Macaca fascicularis: one gene and its partners. The protein of the gene in region 4 interacts with the protein of the main gene of each other region in a biochemical or structural test. Links are inferred from orthologs where the notes say so. Each region holds a gene or a part of one and is shown on either strand. Other genes may lie near its edges. The genes, in order: ACVRL1, SMURF2, MAPK1 and SMAD1.

What was found.
Region 1: of the proteins of SMAD1 (region 4) and ACVRL1, one has a biochemical effect on the other in vitro, tested with the Homo sapiens proteins (2 studies listed by BioGRID). The link is inferred for Macaca fascicularis from reciprocal best matches to the Homo sapiens genes SMAD1 and ACVRL1.
Region 2: the proteins of SMAD1 (region 4) and SMURF2 form a complex in vitro, tested with the Homo sapiens proteins (2 studies listed by BioGRID and IntAct, with this or other methods). The link is inferred for Macaca fascicularis from reciprocal best matches to the Homo sapiens genes SMAD1 and SMURF2.
Region 3: of the proteins of SMAD1 (region 4) and MAPK1, one has a biochemical effect on the other in vitro, tested with the Homo sapiens proteins (3 studies listed by BioGRID). The link is inferred for Macaca fascicularis from reciprocal best matches to the Homo sapiens genes SMAD1 and MAPK1.

The regions. Positions count from the first base shown.
Region 1 is NC_088385.1:58,748,128-58,752,427, forward strand, and holds the start of ACVRL1 (activin receptor type-1-like), read left to right. Parts: upstream 1-1,486; 5' UTR 1,487-1,681; coding exon 1,682-2,069; intron 2,070-2,271; coding exon 2,272-2,483; intron 2,484-2,685; coding exon 2,686-2,785; intron 2,786-3,147; coding exon 3,148-3,294; intron 3,295-3,895; coding exon 3,896-4,171; intron 4,172-4,300. UniProt on the Homo sapiens protein: Type I receptor for TGF-beta family ligands BMP9/GDF2 and BMP10 and important regulator of normal blood vessel development. On ligand binding, forms a receptor complex consisting of two type II and two type I transmembrane serine/threonine kinases.
Region 2 is NC_088390.1:71,142,367-71,145,928, forward strand, and holds part of SMURF2 (E3 ubiquitin-protein ligase SMURF2), read right to left. Parts: intron 3,069-3,562; coding exon 2,948-3,068; intron 1-2,947. UniProt on the Homo sapiens protein: E3 ubiquitin-protein ligase which accepts ubiquitin from an E2 ubiquitin-conjugating enzyme in the form of a thioester and then directly transfers the ubiquitin to targeted substrates.
Region 3 is NC_088384.1:31,317,841-31,321,402, reverse strand, and holds part of MAPK1 (mitogen-activated protein kinase 1), read right to left. Parts: coding exon 3,380-3,562; intron 1,447-3,379; coding exon 1,257-1,446; intron 1-1,256. UniProt on the Homo sapiens protein: Serine/threonine kinase which acts as an essential component of the MAP kinase signal transduction pathway. MAPK1/ERK2 and MAPK3/ERK1 are the 2 MAPKs which play an important role in the MAPK/ERK cascade.
Region 4 is NC_088379.1:150,367,347-150,371,628, reverse strand, and holds the start of SMAD1 (mothers against decapentaplegic homolog 1), read right to left. Parts: upstream 2,859-4,282; 5' UTR 2,802-2,858; intron 2,698-2,801; exon of another isoform or gene 2,500-2,697; intron 1,760-2,499; exon of another isoform or gene 1,359-1,759; intron 1-1,358. UniProt on the Homo sapiens protein: Transcriptional modulator that plays a role in various cellular processes, including embryonic development, cell differentiation, and tissue homeostasis.

The DNA of each region.
Region 1 (4,300 bases), on a different chromosome or scaffold from region 4:
GTGGGACCTGGATTGGGGACTATCACAGACCGGAATTACTCCCCCTGACACTCTTCAACAAACTTCTGAAAAAGTTCAACCCTAGTCAGCCATGGAAGGTCAAACATTCAGTGTCTAAGTGTGTTTCACTTCCCCTGCCACATCACTGGCCCTCCACCCACCCTTTCCTAGATGGCAAGGGGAGAGAAGGGGGCCAGGGAATGACTCTGAGAGGGCAGCTTATACTCTGGTGAGCTTGCAGAGAGGTTCCTCTACACCTGGCATGACCCGGCGCCATCCAAGCTTTGCGTGGTTGTTACAGCCTGAGGGCTCAGACATGGGCTGCCACCACTGGATAGGGACAGTGTGGGGAGAGCACTTGACTAGGAGTCTGGAAGCCTGGGTTGTACTCCTGCTGGTGCCAGTGAGTCCTGTCTGACCCGGGACAAGTCTTCTTCCCTGTATAAGCCTTAATCCTTTCTTCTGTAAAACAAGGAGCTGGATTTTGTGATCCACCTAGAATTCTGTCATGTGGGTGTCCCAGGCACAAGGAACTAAGGGTAGCAAGGAACTAAGGGCATATTTAAATAGCCTCTCCAGACCCTATGGCTGCTGCAGCCCACCCTGAAAATATGCCCTTAGATCCCTGCTGTGCGTGACTCCTGCCTGTTCTATCCAGACCCCAATCTAAACAATCTTGATTCCTGTTCCTGGCTTGGCAGGACCCTGAATGGCAGGAAGTGAAGACAGGAGCCTGTTTATGTTTGAGGCAGCCAGGGCTGGGGGGGCACTGGGAAAGGGTAGGCAGGGGTGAAGGCTGTGAGGGTGTGGGAAAGAGACACAGAACAGAAGGGGAGCTGCTGGAGAGATGCTCCTTCTACCCCAACTGGGTGCTCCCTGCGCCTCTCCCAACCTGCCTCCAGTCTGAGCTCAGCAGCAGGGGTGCAGAGCTAGGGTTTCCCCAAGCTCTCGGTCACTTAAACATGGCTCTCCACCCTTCACCTCTAACAGGATGGTTTCCATGGGGAAGTGAACCAGGACTTCCCTTGCAGGCCCCGCCCCAAAGCTAGGCGGCAGGGAGTAGGGAGGCGGCCTCCCTGCCTCCCCTCCAAAAAAAACTCTCTGTGATTTCCTCTGGGCGGGAGGGAGCCACAGCTGGCGGCTGTCACATTTTGCAGCTCTTACTCCACCTCTCTTGCTCCTCTCTGCAGGGACCATGACCTTGGGCTCCCCGAGGAGAGGCCTTCTGATGCTGCTGATGGCCTTGGTGACCCAGGGTGAGTACTGGGGGAGCAGTTAGGAAACAGGAACCTGGATAGAGAAAGGGCTATCTGGGCCCAGATCAGCTCTGCCTGGGGCTGAACTTGAGAAACTGGGGAGAATTTAGGAGCTTGACTGGAGAATAGAGGAGAGTGAGGCTCCATTAAACTCAGCCCCCAGTTACCCCAGCCCTCCTTTGCTCTCCTCTGGGTCCAGACCTGCAGGCTGGAGCTCTGTCAGGCTAGGGTGGAAGCCTATATGTGGGGCGGAGGGAGAGCAGGTGTTGGCAGGCCAAGCCTGGGAGCGCTCTCAGGACTGGGGCTGGGGGCGCAGCCCAGCCTAGAACTGGGAGGGGAGAACCTAGGAGCCAGGAGGGGACAGAAGCCTGCTTCTCAGTGTCAGCTGCCCTGAGGGGAGGGCTCTGAGGGAAGGATGACTGAGGATGGAAGTAAGGGACCAAAGCTTCAAGGTGTTTGTCTGGGGGGTCAGACGAGAGGGACAATGGGACAGAAATGGGTGTCAGGCTCAGCCTGGGGGAGCTGGGCCCAGAGTGGCTGAGCTTCCGGTGTGTCTCCCAGGTGACCCCGTGAAGCCCTCTCGGGGCCCGCTGGTGACCTGCACATGTGAGAGCCCACATTGCAGGGGGCCTACCTGCCAGGGGGCCTGGTGCACAGTAGTGCTGGTGCGGGAGGAGGGGAGGCACCCCCAGGAACATCGGGGCTGCGGGAACTTGCACAGGGAGCTCTGCAGGGGGCGCCCCACCGAGTTCGTCAACCACTACTGCTGTGACAGCCACCTCTGCAACCGCAACGTGTCCCTGGTGCTGGAGGGTACGTCCAGCTGCCCCAGCACTCCCTCCCCATCTTCTCGGCCCCTGCCCTCCCTTCCCTCCTTTCCTCTCATGCTCTGGCCAATAAAGGGGCTGGGGGCGGGGGGACGGGCAAGACTCTGGGATTTAACTGGCAGAATGGTCTGCCCAAGGTGGGGGAAGTTGACCTAGTGCAAGCTGAGCCTCAATGTCCCCTCCCCCAGCCACCCAAACTCCTTCGGAGCAGCCGGGAACAGACAGCCAGCTGGCCCTGATCCTGGGCCCCGTGCTGGCCTTGCTGGCCCTGGTGGCCCTGGGTGTCGTGGGCCTGTGGCATGTCCGACGGAGGCAGGAGAAGCAGCGGGGCCTGCACAGCGAGCTGGGAGAGTCCAGTCTCATCCTGAAAGCATCTGAGCAGGGCGACAGCATGTTGGGGGTACGGGCCTGGGGACCTGGGACACAGGGTGGAGTGGGGCAGATAGCAACTGCGGAATCAGAGGGGTCATCCAGAGAGTAGAGCCGGTGGGGAGCTGGGCGAGTGAGGAGCTTGCAGTGACCCAGCAGGTCCCAGGTTGAGGATGGAGAATGGGGCTGCGGCTGGTTAGGGCAGCTTTTGAGTGGCCTCTCCATACCCCCAGGACCTCCTGGACAGTGACTGCACCACAGGGAGTGGCTCGGGGCTCCCCTTCCTGGTGCAGAGGACAGTGGCACGGCAGGTTGCCTTGGTGGAGTGTGTGGGTGAGCAGTGGGTGAGCCCGGTGGATGAGGACCAAGGGCTCTCATGAGCCTTGAGGGGTGAGGGAGTTCTTGGCTTCCGGAATCACAGGCAGTGCCAGGCCTGGGTCAGAACTGGAATTCTGCTGGGCAGGGAGTGGGCTGGAGACGGGCCAGGGCTAGGTTCTTTCTGCAGGACCGGGGTGGAACGAGAGGCAGCTGGGGGTGGCCTGCCGCTGGGTTTGGGTCTGGATTAACTTAAACCTAAGGGTCAGGGGTTCTGTGGGTGGGGTGGGCGAGGGAGGCAGCACAGCATCAAGATGAGGGGCTCCTCCAGGGCTCTGTGTGCCCAGTGTGTAACCCTCACCTTCCCCTCTGGCCATCAGGAAAAGGCCGCTATGGCGAAGTGTGGCGGGGCTTGTGGCACGGTGAGAGTGTGGCCGTCAAGATCTTCTCCTCGAGGGACGAACAGTCCTGGTTCCGGGAGACTGAGATCTACAACACAGTGTTGCTCAGACACGACAACATCCTAGGCAAGGGGAGGGGCCGGCTGTGCCAGGCCTGGGGCTTTGCCCTCCTGCACTCAGGGCTCGAATTCACAGACCTCCAGACATTAACAGAACCCTGAAGGACTCCCAGCCCACCTGCAGCACCAACCTCTTTTTTTTTTTTTTTTTGAGACAGGGCCTCGCTCTGTCACCCAGGCTGGGATGCAGTTGTGCAATCTCACTGGAACCTCAATCTCTTGAGCTCAAGCGATCCTCCCACTTCAGCCTCTTGAGTAGCTGGGACCACAGGCATGTGCCACCATGCCCAGCTAACTTTTTTATTTTTTGTAGAGACGAGGTCTCCCTATGTTGCCCAGACTGGTCTCAAATTCCTGGGCTCAAGCAATCCTCCTGCCTTGGCCTCCCAAAGTGTTGGGGTTACAGGTGCAAGCCACTAAGCCAGGCCCAGACCCAACCTCTGACTCCAGCTCTGTCTCTGACCTAAGCCACATCAACCCCCACCCCAGACCTTGCTTAGCAGTGACCCAGCCCATTCCCTCTCCCCCGACCCCACCCTGACCCTGACCACTCCAGCCTCCCTTAGCCCCAGCCCCTTGGCTGAGTCACCCGACCCTTCTGTGCACAGGCTTCATCGCCTCAGACATGACCTCCCGCAACTCGAGCACGCAGCTGTGGCTCATCACGCATTACCACGAGCACGGCTCCCTCTACGACTTTCTGCAGAGACAGACGCTGGAGCCGCATTTGGCTCTGAGGCTAGCTGTGTCCGCAGCCTGTGGCCTGGCACACCTGCACGTGGAGATCTTCGGTACACAGGGCAAACCGGCCATTGCCCACCGTGACTTCAAGAGCCGCAACGTGCTGGTCAAGAGCAACCTGCAGTGTTGCATTGCTGACCTGGGTGAGCTGGGCAGGGCAGGGGCAGACCCTTCACAGGTGGGCACAGCCCGTGCTCTCTCCTCTCCTTTGCCTATGGGCGGTGACCATGATTGGCGCTTGAAAACAGAGGTGCATGTTGTCTCAGTTCTCC
Region 2 (3,562 bases), on a different chromosome or scaffold from region 4:
CACATTGATACAGACCTCTGCTAAACACATCCTGATGGGAGGGTCACACAGATGAACTATATCCAAATCATTTTGATATTACTAATACATCTCCCTAGGGTCCAAGACTAACTCACCATACTAATCTAACATGTTTATAATAGCGAATTCCATGTGTACTATAAAACATAACTTGCAAATCCTAGATTTTATAGAATTAATTAAACCCAAGATTAATGTATACACCACTAAAATAAATGTTATACATATCGTCTTTAAAAATGGGTAGGGTGTGGTGGCTCACGCCTGTAAGCCCAGCACTTTGGGGGGACAAGGCATGCAGATCACTTGAGGTCAGGAGTTCAAGACCAGCCTGGCCAACATGGTGAAACCCTGTATCTACTAAAAATACAAAAAGGTAGCCGGGCGTGGTGGTGAGCACCTGTAATCCCAAGGCTTGAGAATACTTGAACCTGGGAAGTGGAGGTTGTAGGGAGCCGAGATCCTGTCAGCCTGGGGGACAAAGTAAGACTGTCTCTCCAAAAAAAAAAAAAAAAACAAAAACCCCAAAAAACTGTTAGCCAGGTGTGGTGGTGCACACCTGTAGTCCCAGTTACCGGGGAGGCTGAGGTGGGAGGATCACTTCAGCATAGGAGTTAACCGTGAGCTAGGATCATGCTACTGCACTCCAGCCTGGGCAACAGAGTGAGACTCTATCTCAAAAATAAAAATACAAAGTTTAATGATTCAGGCCCGGTGCGATGGCTCATGCCTGTAATCCTAACACTTTGGGAGGCAGAGGCAGGTGGACTGCCTGAGCTCAGGAGTTTGAGACCGGCCTGGGCAACATGGTGAAACCCCCTCTCTACTAAAACTACAAAAATTAGCCAGGCATGGTCGTGCACACCTGAAGTTCCAGTTACTCGGGAGACTGAGGCAGGAGAATCGCTTGAACCCGGGAGGCGGAGGTTGCGGTAAGCAGAGATTGCGCCACTGCACTCCAGCCTGGGCGACAGAGTGAGATTCTGTCTCCACAAAAAAAAAAAAAAAAAAAGAAAAAGAAAAAGTATAATGACTCATTAGCAGTAGAAACTATATTCAAAACCCTAACCCTACCAAATAAAGTCTCCAGTAAGGCTTCCATAGGGTTCTGAAATAAAATCTCCAACAAAGCTTCTACAGGGTTCACTGAGTTAACACCACACTGAACAGGGAGGAGGTTATCCGAAAAGGATTATGGGTGTGTTTAATGACATAAAAGACTCCTCCTAAATTCTTTTCCTCAGAGGAATGGCAGTTAGAAGGCCAAATCCTTGTTTATTGTGTAAAGAGATGAAAATGCATTATATTGCAACCTTATCGGCATTCCTGCTGCGTTCTCCTCCAACTACTTCCTTCTGGCTATTTTACTATGAACAATTCAATCACAAAAGGAATGGGGAGAGTATTAAGTAAGACCAACCTTTTTAGATTTGTTTGCTAACAGGTCTATTAACAGATTTAGTTAGAAAGGACATTGAAGGCAGTGAATAAAATCATGTTTCAAATTATTAGTAGACTTCAAATATTTGTGTTATCCCTAACTACTAAATAAATGTGGGAGCCTGAATAGAATTAAACCTCATGTTTCTTAGTAGTTCAGTAGGAAATTCAGATGTATTTGTCAAAGGTCTTAATTACAAAACCAGACCTGAGGTGTTTAAGGGACAGCTTTAAAAGGAAACAAAAAACTATTAACTGTTTTGTATGGCTGTTAATCTAAAGACATTTAGAGGCCAGGTACGGTGGCTTACACCTGTAATCTGAGCACTTTGGAAGGCCAGAGTGGGTGGATCATTTGAGGTCAGGAGTCCCAGACCAGCCTGGCCAATGTGGTGAAACCCTGTTTCTACTAATATAAAAATCAGCCGGGCGTGGTTGCGGGTGCCTGTAGTCCCAGCTACTTGGGAGGCTGAGGCAGGAGAATCACTTGAACCCAGGAGGTGGAGGTTGCAGTGAGCCTAGATCATGCCACTGCTCTCCAGCCTGGGCGATTCTGTCTCAAAAAAAAAGATACAATTTCTCCTAGGTGTTTTAGTTATTTTCTCAGTGATCTTGTCTATCAAATGCTTTCTTGCAAGCTTAGTGTAAAACCAACTGAGAGTAGGCTCTTACCCAAATTAATTTCAATATGGTAGATTAATGAGGTTTTACTTAACTAAATCAGTAACTACTAAGTTAAGGAATAAATATATATTGGAAGAATGTACATATAAGTCATGAAATCTGTTTAAAATAAGAAAGTACAGGATAGAAAAATAAATTTTAAATGTTCACAATATAAGAGAGATTGCTCAAGCCGGGCATGGTGGCTCAAGCCTATAATCCTAGCACTTTGGGAGGCCAAGGCAGGCAGATCACTTGAGCTCAGGAGTTTGAGATCAGCCTGGGAAACATGGCAAAACCTTGTCTCTACCAAAAAAAAAAAAAAAAAAAAAAAAACAAGAAAATTAGCCAGGCGTGCTGGTGCATGCTTGTAGTCCCAGCTACTTGGGGGGCTGAGGTGGAAGGATCATTTGAGCCCACGAGGCCAAGGCTGCAGTGAGCCATGACTGCACCACTGCACCCCAGCCTGGGTGACGGAGTGAGACCCTGTCTCAGAAAAAATGAGGGGAGAGGGGAGAGGGGAGAGGGGAGAGGGGAGAGGGGAGAGGGGAGAGGGGAGAGGGGAGAGGGGAGAGGGGAGAGGGGAGAGGGGAGAGGGGAGGAGAGGAGAGGAGAGGAGAGAGATTGTTCACTCACAGAAATTCCAAAGGATGAAAGGCCTTCAAAAGCATGAAAGACTTTTCCTGTGAATAAGAATTCTCAAGCATAGAACCATGAAACTTAGAAAGTACCAGAAATATGACTTTCCTATAAAATTAAGTAACAAAATAATTCCCAATCCTTTCTTGTTATACTAGTGATGTTATACTACTAATGCACTAACCTCTAACTCCTTCTCATCAAATGTCTTCAGCAAATGTTGTGGAATTACTTCATTAAATCCTTTCTGCAGAGCCAGGAATTGAGCCTCAATGCCTCGTAAAAATCTCCAGTTCACATAGAGCCTGTAAACATTAGGCAGGATTGGGTATAATCACATATATTTTCAGATCTGGTAATTATTATAAATCTCTACTTTAGCAACATTGCATTTTACAAGCATCTAACATTAATAATTTAGCCTAAAGTCTAAAAATAAATCTCAGACTAATGGGGATAAATGATCCCTGAGGTGTGACACAGTTCAGTGTTGATGAAAAGTGGTAAACTTCTACTAACAGCAGCAGCATCAGCAGAGCAACCCTTCGAATCAGAGAAGCTCCCAGGAAACAGGACGTCTACTTGAGTCTTGATGAAATTTCTTTCTAAACTTACAGCATACATGCCAATAACTAGAATAAAGAGCTCTTTCACTCAAAAATGACTATTTTTTCTGATTTTACTTGTAAATGTAATTTGAATGTGTTGGGTGTTTTGTTTCTATTTGAGGGAGGTCTGTGGGAGAAGAGGAGGTAGATAATCCTCAAACCAAAAATGAGAAGAAACAGTAAAAGCCAAT
Region 3 (3,562 bases), on a different chromosome or scaffold from region 4:
AAGTTTTGAAATCAGGAAGTGTATCAGTCCTCCATATGAATTTCCATATGAAGTTTAGGATCAGCCTGTCAATTTCTATAGAAAAAAAACAGCTGGGGCTTTGATAGGGATTACACTAAATCTGCAGATCAATTTGGAGAATACTGCCATCTTAACAGTATTAAGTCTTATGATCCACGGACATGGGATATCTTCCCATTTATTTAGGTCTTCTTGAATTCCTGTGCATTTTTTTAGACTGAATCGACATCGCTCTATCACATCTAAGATATCCATAAATTTCCCTCCTTGTTTACCTGCGACTCCCATTAAAATAGAAATATGTAAATGCTGCACATTTTCAGGAGAACTCTGAGGACTGTAAAGAATTTGAGGTTTTCTTATTTAGTTGGAATGCCATATTAGGTATTAAAGTCAGTGAGGTTAAGTTTCATGCTGCTATCTTTTGAATAAAATGTATTGAACAAAAATGTTACCAACGAAACAGATGATTTTAAAACTAATACATAATGTACATGATCCTGTTTACCTACATAAAGTATAAAAGTACACATGTATGTAAGAGCATAGAAAATACTTTGGGAGAAAATACACCAATTTGTTTTTTGTTTGTTTTTTGAGGACGGAGTTTTGCTCTGTCACTCAGGCTGGTGTGCAGTGGTGTGATCTCGGCTCCCTGCAACCTCCGCTTCCCAGGTTCAAGCGGTTCTCCTGCCTCAGTTCCCATGTAGCTGGGATTACAGGCGCGTGCCACCATGCCCAGCTGATTTTTGTATTTTTAGTAGAAATGGGGTTTCGCTATGTTGGCCAGGCTGGTCTCGAACTCCTGACCTCAGGTGCTCCACCCACCTCGGCCTCCCAAGGTGCTAGGATTACAGGTGTGAGCCACTGCAACCGGCCACCAATTTGTTACAGTAGTTAGTTATCTTGGCCTGGTGCTGTGGCCCATGTATGTAATCCCAGCACTCTGGGAGGCCGAGAAAGGAGGACTGCTTGAGCCCAGGAGTTCAGACCAGGCTGGGCAACATACTAAGACTCTATCTTAAAAAAAAAAAAGAAAAAAAAAAGTATCTCTGGGGAAAAAGGAGCAATGGGATAAGGAAGAAGAGGACTATCACTCTACTAGCATTTTTGCCATAAAAATGTTTTTGGGCATTTCTGGTGTCATTTAAAATACGATAATGACAAATATAACTACGCTTCAGTGAAAGAGTTTTTCAATATATATCAGCTTAATAGTTAATAACCTGGCTGACCTTGAGATCACAGGTGGTGTTGAGCAGCAGGTTGGAAGGCTTGAGGTCACGGTGCAGAACGTTAGCTGAATGGATATATTTTAACCCTCTGAGGATCTGGTAAAGAAAATAGCAGATATGGTCGTTGCTGAGGTGTTGTGTCTTCAAGAGCTTGTAAAGATCTGTTTCCATGAGGTCTTGTACTATATATCTGTTTGCAAAGGTTAAGTAAAACACCAATTAGCTGGTCATATTTAGCAAAGCGTTGAAAACAAAAATGCGTCCTCTCTTGACTCTCTTCCCAAACAGTCCATTATTACACTATGAGGCCCTTAAAGGAAAGAAAAACCTGAGGAAAACTTGGTTTCTTTCATGGAAGGAACCTGAAGTCGTTAACTTCTTTTCGGTCCTGTGAGATGGCAAGAATTACGGCATTACATCTGACTGATGCAGCTATGGGCCTAGACTGAGATCTGAAACAGGCTGTTACAGAAATTCTGGTCAATCTTCAAGTCTCAACCTCTTTGTTCTCTAAATTGTCCACCATCAACGAACCCCCTCCAAGGTTTGTTGGAAATACTGGTGGCCTGTAAGTAGCACATATTCCCTCCTCTGTTTGGTCCAGTAACCTGTAATGTCACTATTCTTTTTCCTTTTTGTTGCCGCTCCCCTCCTTTCCCAAGTTCCTCAAAAGCCAAACATAAAACTTCCAGAAATACAGGTCTAGAAACATACCCTTACTAGTAAATCCAACCCTAAGTCTATCTATTTTCTTACTCTCCCATAACTGTTAAGATCCTAAATAAATAAGACTATGGGCAAGTCGTGCTAAGAAGGGGTTTGTGCGTGTTTTGCTCCTCTTGCTTTCTTGCCTGGTCACTTATTTAACTACCTAAAACTTCAGCTATGGCTACTTTCTTTCTTTCTTTTTTTTTTTTTTTTTTTTTTTGAGACGGAGTCTCACGCTGTTGCCCAGGCTGGAGTGCAGTGGCGTGATCTCGGCTCACTGCAAGCTCCGCCTCCTGGGTTCACGCCATTCTCCTGCCTCAGCCTCCTGAGTAGCTAGGACTACAGGCGCCCGCCACCGCGCCCGGCTAATTTTTTGTATTTTTAGTAGACACGGGGTTTCACTGTGGTCTCGATCTCCTGACCTTGTGATCCGCCCGCCTCGGCCTCCCAAAGTGCTGGGATTACAGGCTTGAGCCACCGCGCCCGGCTGGCTACTTTCTTTCTAACAGAAATTAAATTATTAAAGCATTTAGCCTTTAACTTCATCATAGTATTATTTCATTAGCAGTATTTCTGCATTTTTTTTTACTCTCTCTGTGTAAATAATATTCTCCGTTTCTTACAGATTTATGCTAGAGGCGGCGCAGCATGGGATTCAAAGGAAACATGATTTTAAAATCTGTCATTTGAGAGAGGCTTATTTTCATGGCAAAAGTAAAGTAGGACCAACAGGTGGTAGTGGCAGGAGGCATTTCACTTCAAATATCACTACAACTTATTAACAGAGCTGTTTAAAAATGGAAAGGCTGCCTAGAGACAGCGAGCTCCCGCACCCTGGAGGGTGGAATACAAATTGGGTAAACTGATAGGAGTGCTGTATAACCCTCTCCCTTCTGGCAGATCCTCTTCAGTATACTTAACCTCTCTATCTTTCAAATGGAGTCTTTGCCCAGGCAGCATCCTCTAGACCTATTCAGTCCAGATATCTAAATGTTGGTCATAGTTAATCACATAATTTCAGAGCCCAGTTGACCTTAAAGATCATGACAACTAGTTCCTTCATTTTAAAGGAGGGGAAACTGAGACCTAAAGTGGTGACCTGATTCTAAGATCAGGACAGTCCTAATTTCACCCGGTAGATAGCCAGGGCACCCTCTTTCTTAGTCTACTACTGATCTTCCCTTTACCTTTTCATCATCACAACAAACCATCTCTTAGACAGAAAAAAACATGACTGCAAATGGAGTTAACCAAGATTTTCCATGACTAGACTTAGGGAGTAAATAGCAAACAGATTACGATTTTCCCTTTAGCATGTTTAAAGCACTTTTCCTTTAAGTTTAGGAAATTTCAAGTTCTATTTACTCAACAAAGTTACCAAGCAGTGGAATTGGCTAGTTGCCTAAAAAGGATACACATCTTTCATTTGCTCGATGGTTGGTGCTCGAATAATGTCATTGATTCCAATGATGTTCTCATGTCTGAAGCGCAGTAAGATTTTTATCTCCCGCAGGGTTCTCTGGCAGTAGGTCTGGTGCTCAAAGGGGCTGATTTTCTTGATAGCTACTCGAACTTTGTTGACATTATCATAAGCAGAG
Region 4 (4,282 bases):
TACCACCCATATCTGAAGTATAACGCCAGACTCCTGCTTAGCTACCCCTGTAATATGGTTTAATTATGATGACTGAACTAATAGGCTGACATCATAGACTTTTACAGGCTGACCCCATGTCATCCTGATGTATCATTTTGCACCAGTTCAGTGCTGTAAATCAATTTAAGATCTCAAGCAGGTTGAAAAGGCTGGTAATGATGCTTTCTCTGCTGTCTCTGGAGACTCTACATTATACCCAACTTACATTATTTATAAAGCCTCAGTGATGCCTCCATTAGCCTTGTAAGACTACACAAATGAGATCTTTTATACACACACACACTTGGCCTTGATTATGTAGGCTACTGCAGCTTAAACATGCTTGTCTAATTACACCCAAGTTACTTCTTTTTCCAATCCACTAAGTTATTAGATTTTATCTTTAACCCAGAATTGCTAGAAATCAAAATTACAAAGTGAAATTTAGTTTTTAACTAATAAATGTAATCAACGTAGTTGAGAAAATGTGACTTACTTCCTCTTAATGCCTTAATGAACTTAGTAGAAATAAAATTAAATTCCAAGAAGTGTAAGACGTCAATGTCTCTAATTGCCTAAAAACTGTCATTTTTCTAAAACACAAAGGTCATCAGCTCTTCAAGGATATGAAATCAAAGGATACTGCAAGGGGTAAAATGTATTTGGTTACATACCTATGGTTGTAGGGGTCAAAACTAAATCAAGGACAAATCCCTACCCTCAGAAGAAACCTGATCCTGCCTGGATCCTCTAGAGGCTCTGGCATCACCCATCTTCAGAAAAATCATCTCTCACGACCCTAGTTACACTTTCCTAAGAACTGCAGTATTACACCAATGATACACCACCTGCACAGAAATATCAAATAACTGCAAATAGGAAAGAGAGTGGGAGAGGGCAGAACAAACACTTTAATCAGTACAGCATATTTAGATCTGGCACCTACATCAGAATAACACTGATGCAACAATATTTACACCAATTGAAAATGCTGGGGCAGTGAACACTTCTGCCCCGATTCTTCTTTAATACAGCTCACCCACCTTCAGTACAATTTAAAGTAATTACAAACAAGATGAAAAATCAACATGGGCAGGGAACAGTTTTCTCATTGTGTTACCGAGGTGTGGGCAAGTTATCCACAACAGACAATTAGACCCAGAGATGTTCTGAAATAAAGGCATTCTGAGATTTAGCCGCTGAGAGTTGCAGCAACAGGAAGACATAACAGAAATCATGCAACTTCTTTATCATTCCACGTACTTTGAAACTTCAGATACAATGGAAAGAAAAGAGGGGGGAGGGCAGAGAAAAAGGACAGTTGTCTCAGCACTCACGAAAACGATGCTTTCTCAGGAGATGGTTGAGACCGGCCTCAATTTTCAGAAGGAACGAGCCTTTACTGGTTATCTTGCACCGTGTATTTAAAAATTGCATGCGCTTCAAAATAAACAAAAGCTCAGCTACTGTAGTTGTGAGATCTGGCAGGCATTTGTTCCTCCTCCCCTCCTAAAGCACATCAAGGAAACGTTCTCCCTTTAAAGCCTTCATACAGCTTCAGCAACTAGAAAAACAAGCCCACGTCTGTCTCTCACGCCCACCACCCCCACCTTCCTACAGAAACAACCCCGAGAAACACTAACAAAGACAGAGAGCAGAGTAAAGGAACAGTTGTTCAACCGCGAACTCACGAATACACATGCAGTGAGGCAATCGACTCCGGTAAAGGGAAAGGAATGAGACACCAGGAGACGCAGCGGGTGTAGGCGGAAGAGGGGGAAAAAATTACGCGCCGCCGCCAAACCTTTGAATAAATTAGAGGGGATTTCGGTGCGAACTTTCCTTGACCTCGACCCCAAAGAGGCTCGCTGGGGCCGAGAAGGAAACCCGTGCGGGATGTGGAGGGGCCCGGGCCGCCGGGGTCCCCCGCCCGCGAGACCCGCTCCACCAGGCGCCTTGGAGGGCAGCGCAGGCGGTCGTCCTCCAGCTCCCTCAGGAGTCGCCCCGCCGGCGCGGGGGACACAATGGGTCCGCGGGCCGCGCGAACGGGCCTCGGCCCGGCTGCCGCACGGGAGAGATGTGAGGAGCGCGCGGAGGGGGAGCGCGGCCGGGGAGGTCCCAGCGCGGTCGGGCCCGAGGGCCGAGGCTTGGGGGCCCGGGAACTGGGCTTCCCACGGCAGACGACCCAACAAAGACACCAGGGGTGCCCGGCGGGCTGGGCACGAGAAGAAGACGCGGTGGCAGGTTCGCTCCTCAGAGCGGCAGGGAGGCGCCATCATGGGGGGTGGGGGGTTCGCGGCCCGCCCGGCGCAGAAAGAGCCCCCTCCCCGCCGCCGCCCGCGCCCCCAGCCCAGCACGACCGCGGTGGCCCCACGCGTGCAGAGGCGACGGCGGCGGCGCTGGAAAGCCTGGGGCGCCGAGGGGAGGGCGGCGACGCGGCATGAAGGGAAAGTTGGGTTTGGGTCTGTTTCGTTTTACCGGGTTAGCGGCGCGCCAGTCCGCGCGGGCGCACGAGTGGCCGGGCGAGCGGGGTCCCGCGGCCCGGGTCTGGCCGGCCGGGCGCTGCGCCGCGCTCCGCTCCCAGGGTCCCTCCCCGAGCCTCGGCCCGGGTTGAGCCGTTCGGCCTCTCCTTTCTCCGCCCGCCCGCCTGCTCTCTCCTGGAGCCTGGATTGATCTGGTCGCGCTGGCGTCAGGGAGTCGGAGCCGCCCAGCCTCCACTCCTCGGCTGCCAATACCCGGCGCACTCGCCTGCCCGCCCGCCCGCTCGCTCACACGCTCACCCGCTCACCCGCGCGCCGCCGCCGCTGCCGCGCGACCAGGGATCCTCTCCAAATTCCCGGCCCGACCGGCGTGAGCGCAGCACGGCCGGGGCCGGAGGACGGCGCGGGGGAGCGGCCGGAGCCACCCCCTTCTACCCGCAGCCCCACGTCCCGTTTATTCCTGGAGAAAAAACAGTGTCGCGGAGTTCAGGCTTTCCTAACCCTGCCTTTTTAGTCCCGGTGGAGTGGACTTGGTCCATTATCTGCAAGTGAATTTCGATACTCCATGTTTTTATTTTCTGAAATGTTCATTAATGCTTCCACCGCGCCCACCGAATCGTTCTATAAACGTGGAGTGCCTGTTGACAGTTATCCTTGGAGACGCGCCCTTTTATGTCTAGTTTTCGTTGCCCCTCACGCACTCTCCAATAATTTGCACGCCCCAGAAGTTGTACGTACCCAGAATTGGATAGCCTAGTAACTACTGCACGTGCTTATACAAACCCTGAGTCAACAGATGCGTTTTATGTCAACTCAGGATCCAGTGATTCGAGTAGGTAACCTTGTTGCTCTAAATGACATGCCACAAGGAGATACTGCTTTAACACTCCACATTTTTGGTCCAATTTTTACAGTCTTTTAGATGATGCCAACTCCTTCGCACTTAACTCTTACCAACCTGATCTGCATAGACACTGAAAATATCTTCTAAGAGTCAACTTTTCTCTTGGCTAACTCTTGAAACTGCATAAAATCTTGGATAATTACTATAATGTTGAGTTACAGTTAGACAAGAATGATTTTTTTGAGGAATAAATTTCACATGAAGCAAAAAAATAAAAATAAAAAATAAAAAATAAAAAAAATCACTCCCAGCAGTCAGAATATGCCTTCTAATTAAATTCCTTTTTCCCTTAACCTATTTGAGCACTTACTGGTCAATTCGTGGGCCTCATCTTATTTTCCCTAAAAGCAGCGTTTGACGCAGTTGATCATCCTTTGCTCCTTAGAACAACAGGAAAGTGAACCTTGTTAAATGCCACTCAGATCAGGCCACTCCCCTATTGAAAACCCTCCCTTGATAAATAGTATAAAGTATCCCATACAAGAGAACATTATTCAGCCATAAAAAGAAATGAAGTACTGATACTGATGCATGCTACATGGATAACCTTTCAAAACATGTGAAGTGGAAGAAGACAGACCACACGTTGTATTCTTCCACATATGTGAAATGCTCAGAGTAGGCAAGGCTATGGAGACAGAAAGTAGTTTGGTGGTTTGCATAGGGTTGGGGAAATGAGGAACCTGAGGAGTGACTGCTAAAGGTTATGGGGTGACAAAATTGTTCTAAAACTAGTTTCTGGTGATGGTTGCGCAACTCTGTGGATATATCAAAAACCTTTAAATTGTACACTTTAAATGGGTCAATCATTTGGTATGTGAATTTCACCTCAAGCTATTAAAAAAAAGTATGACAATGAAATGCAGTATATGACCTT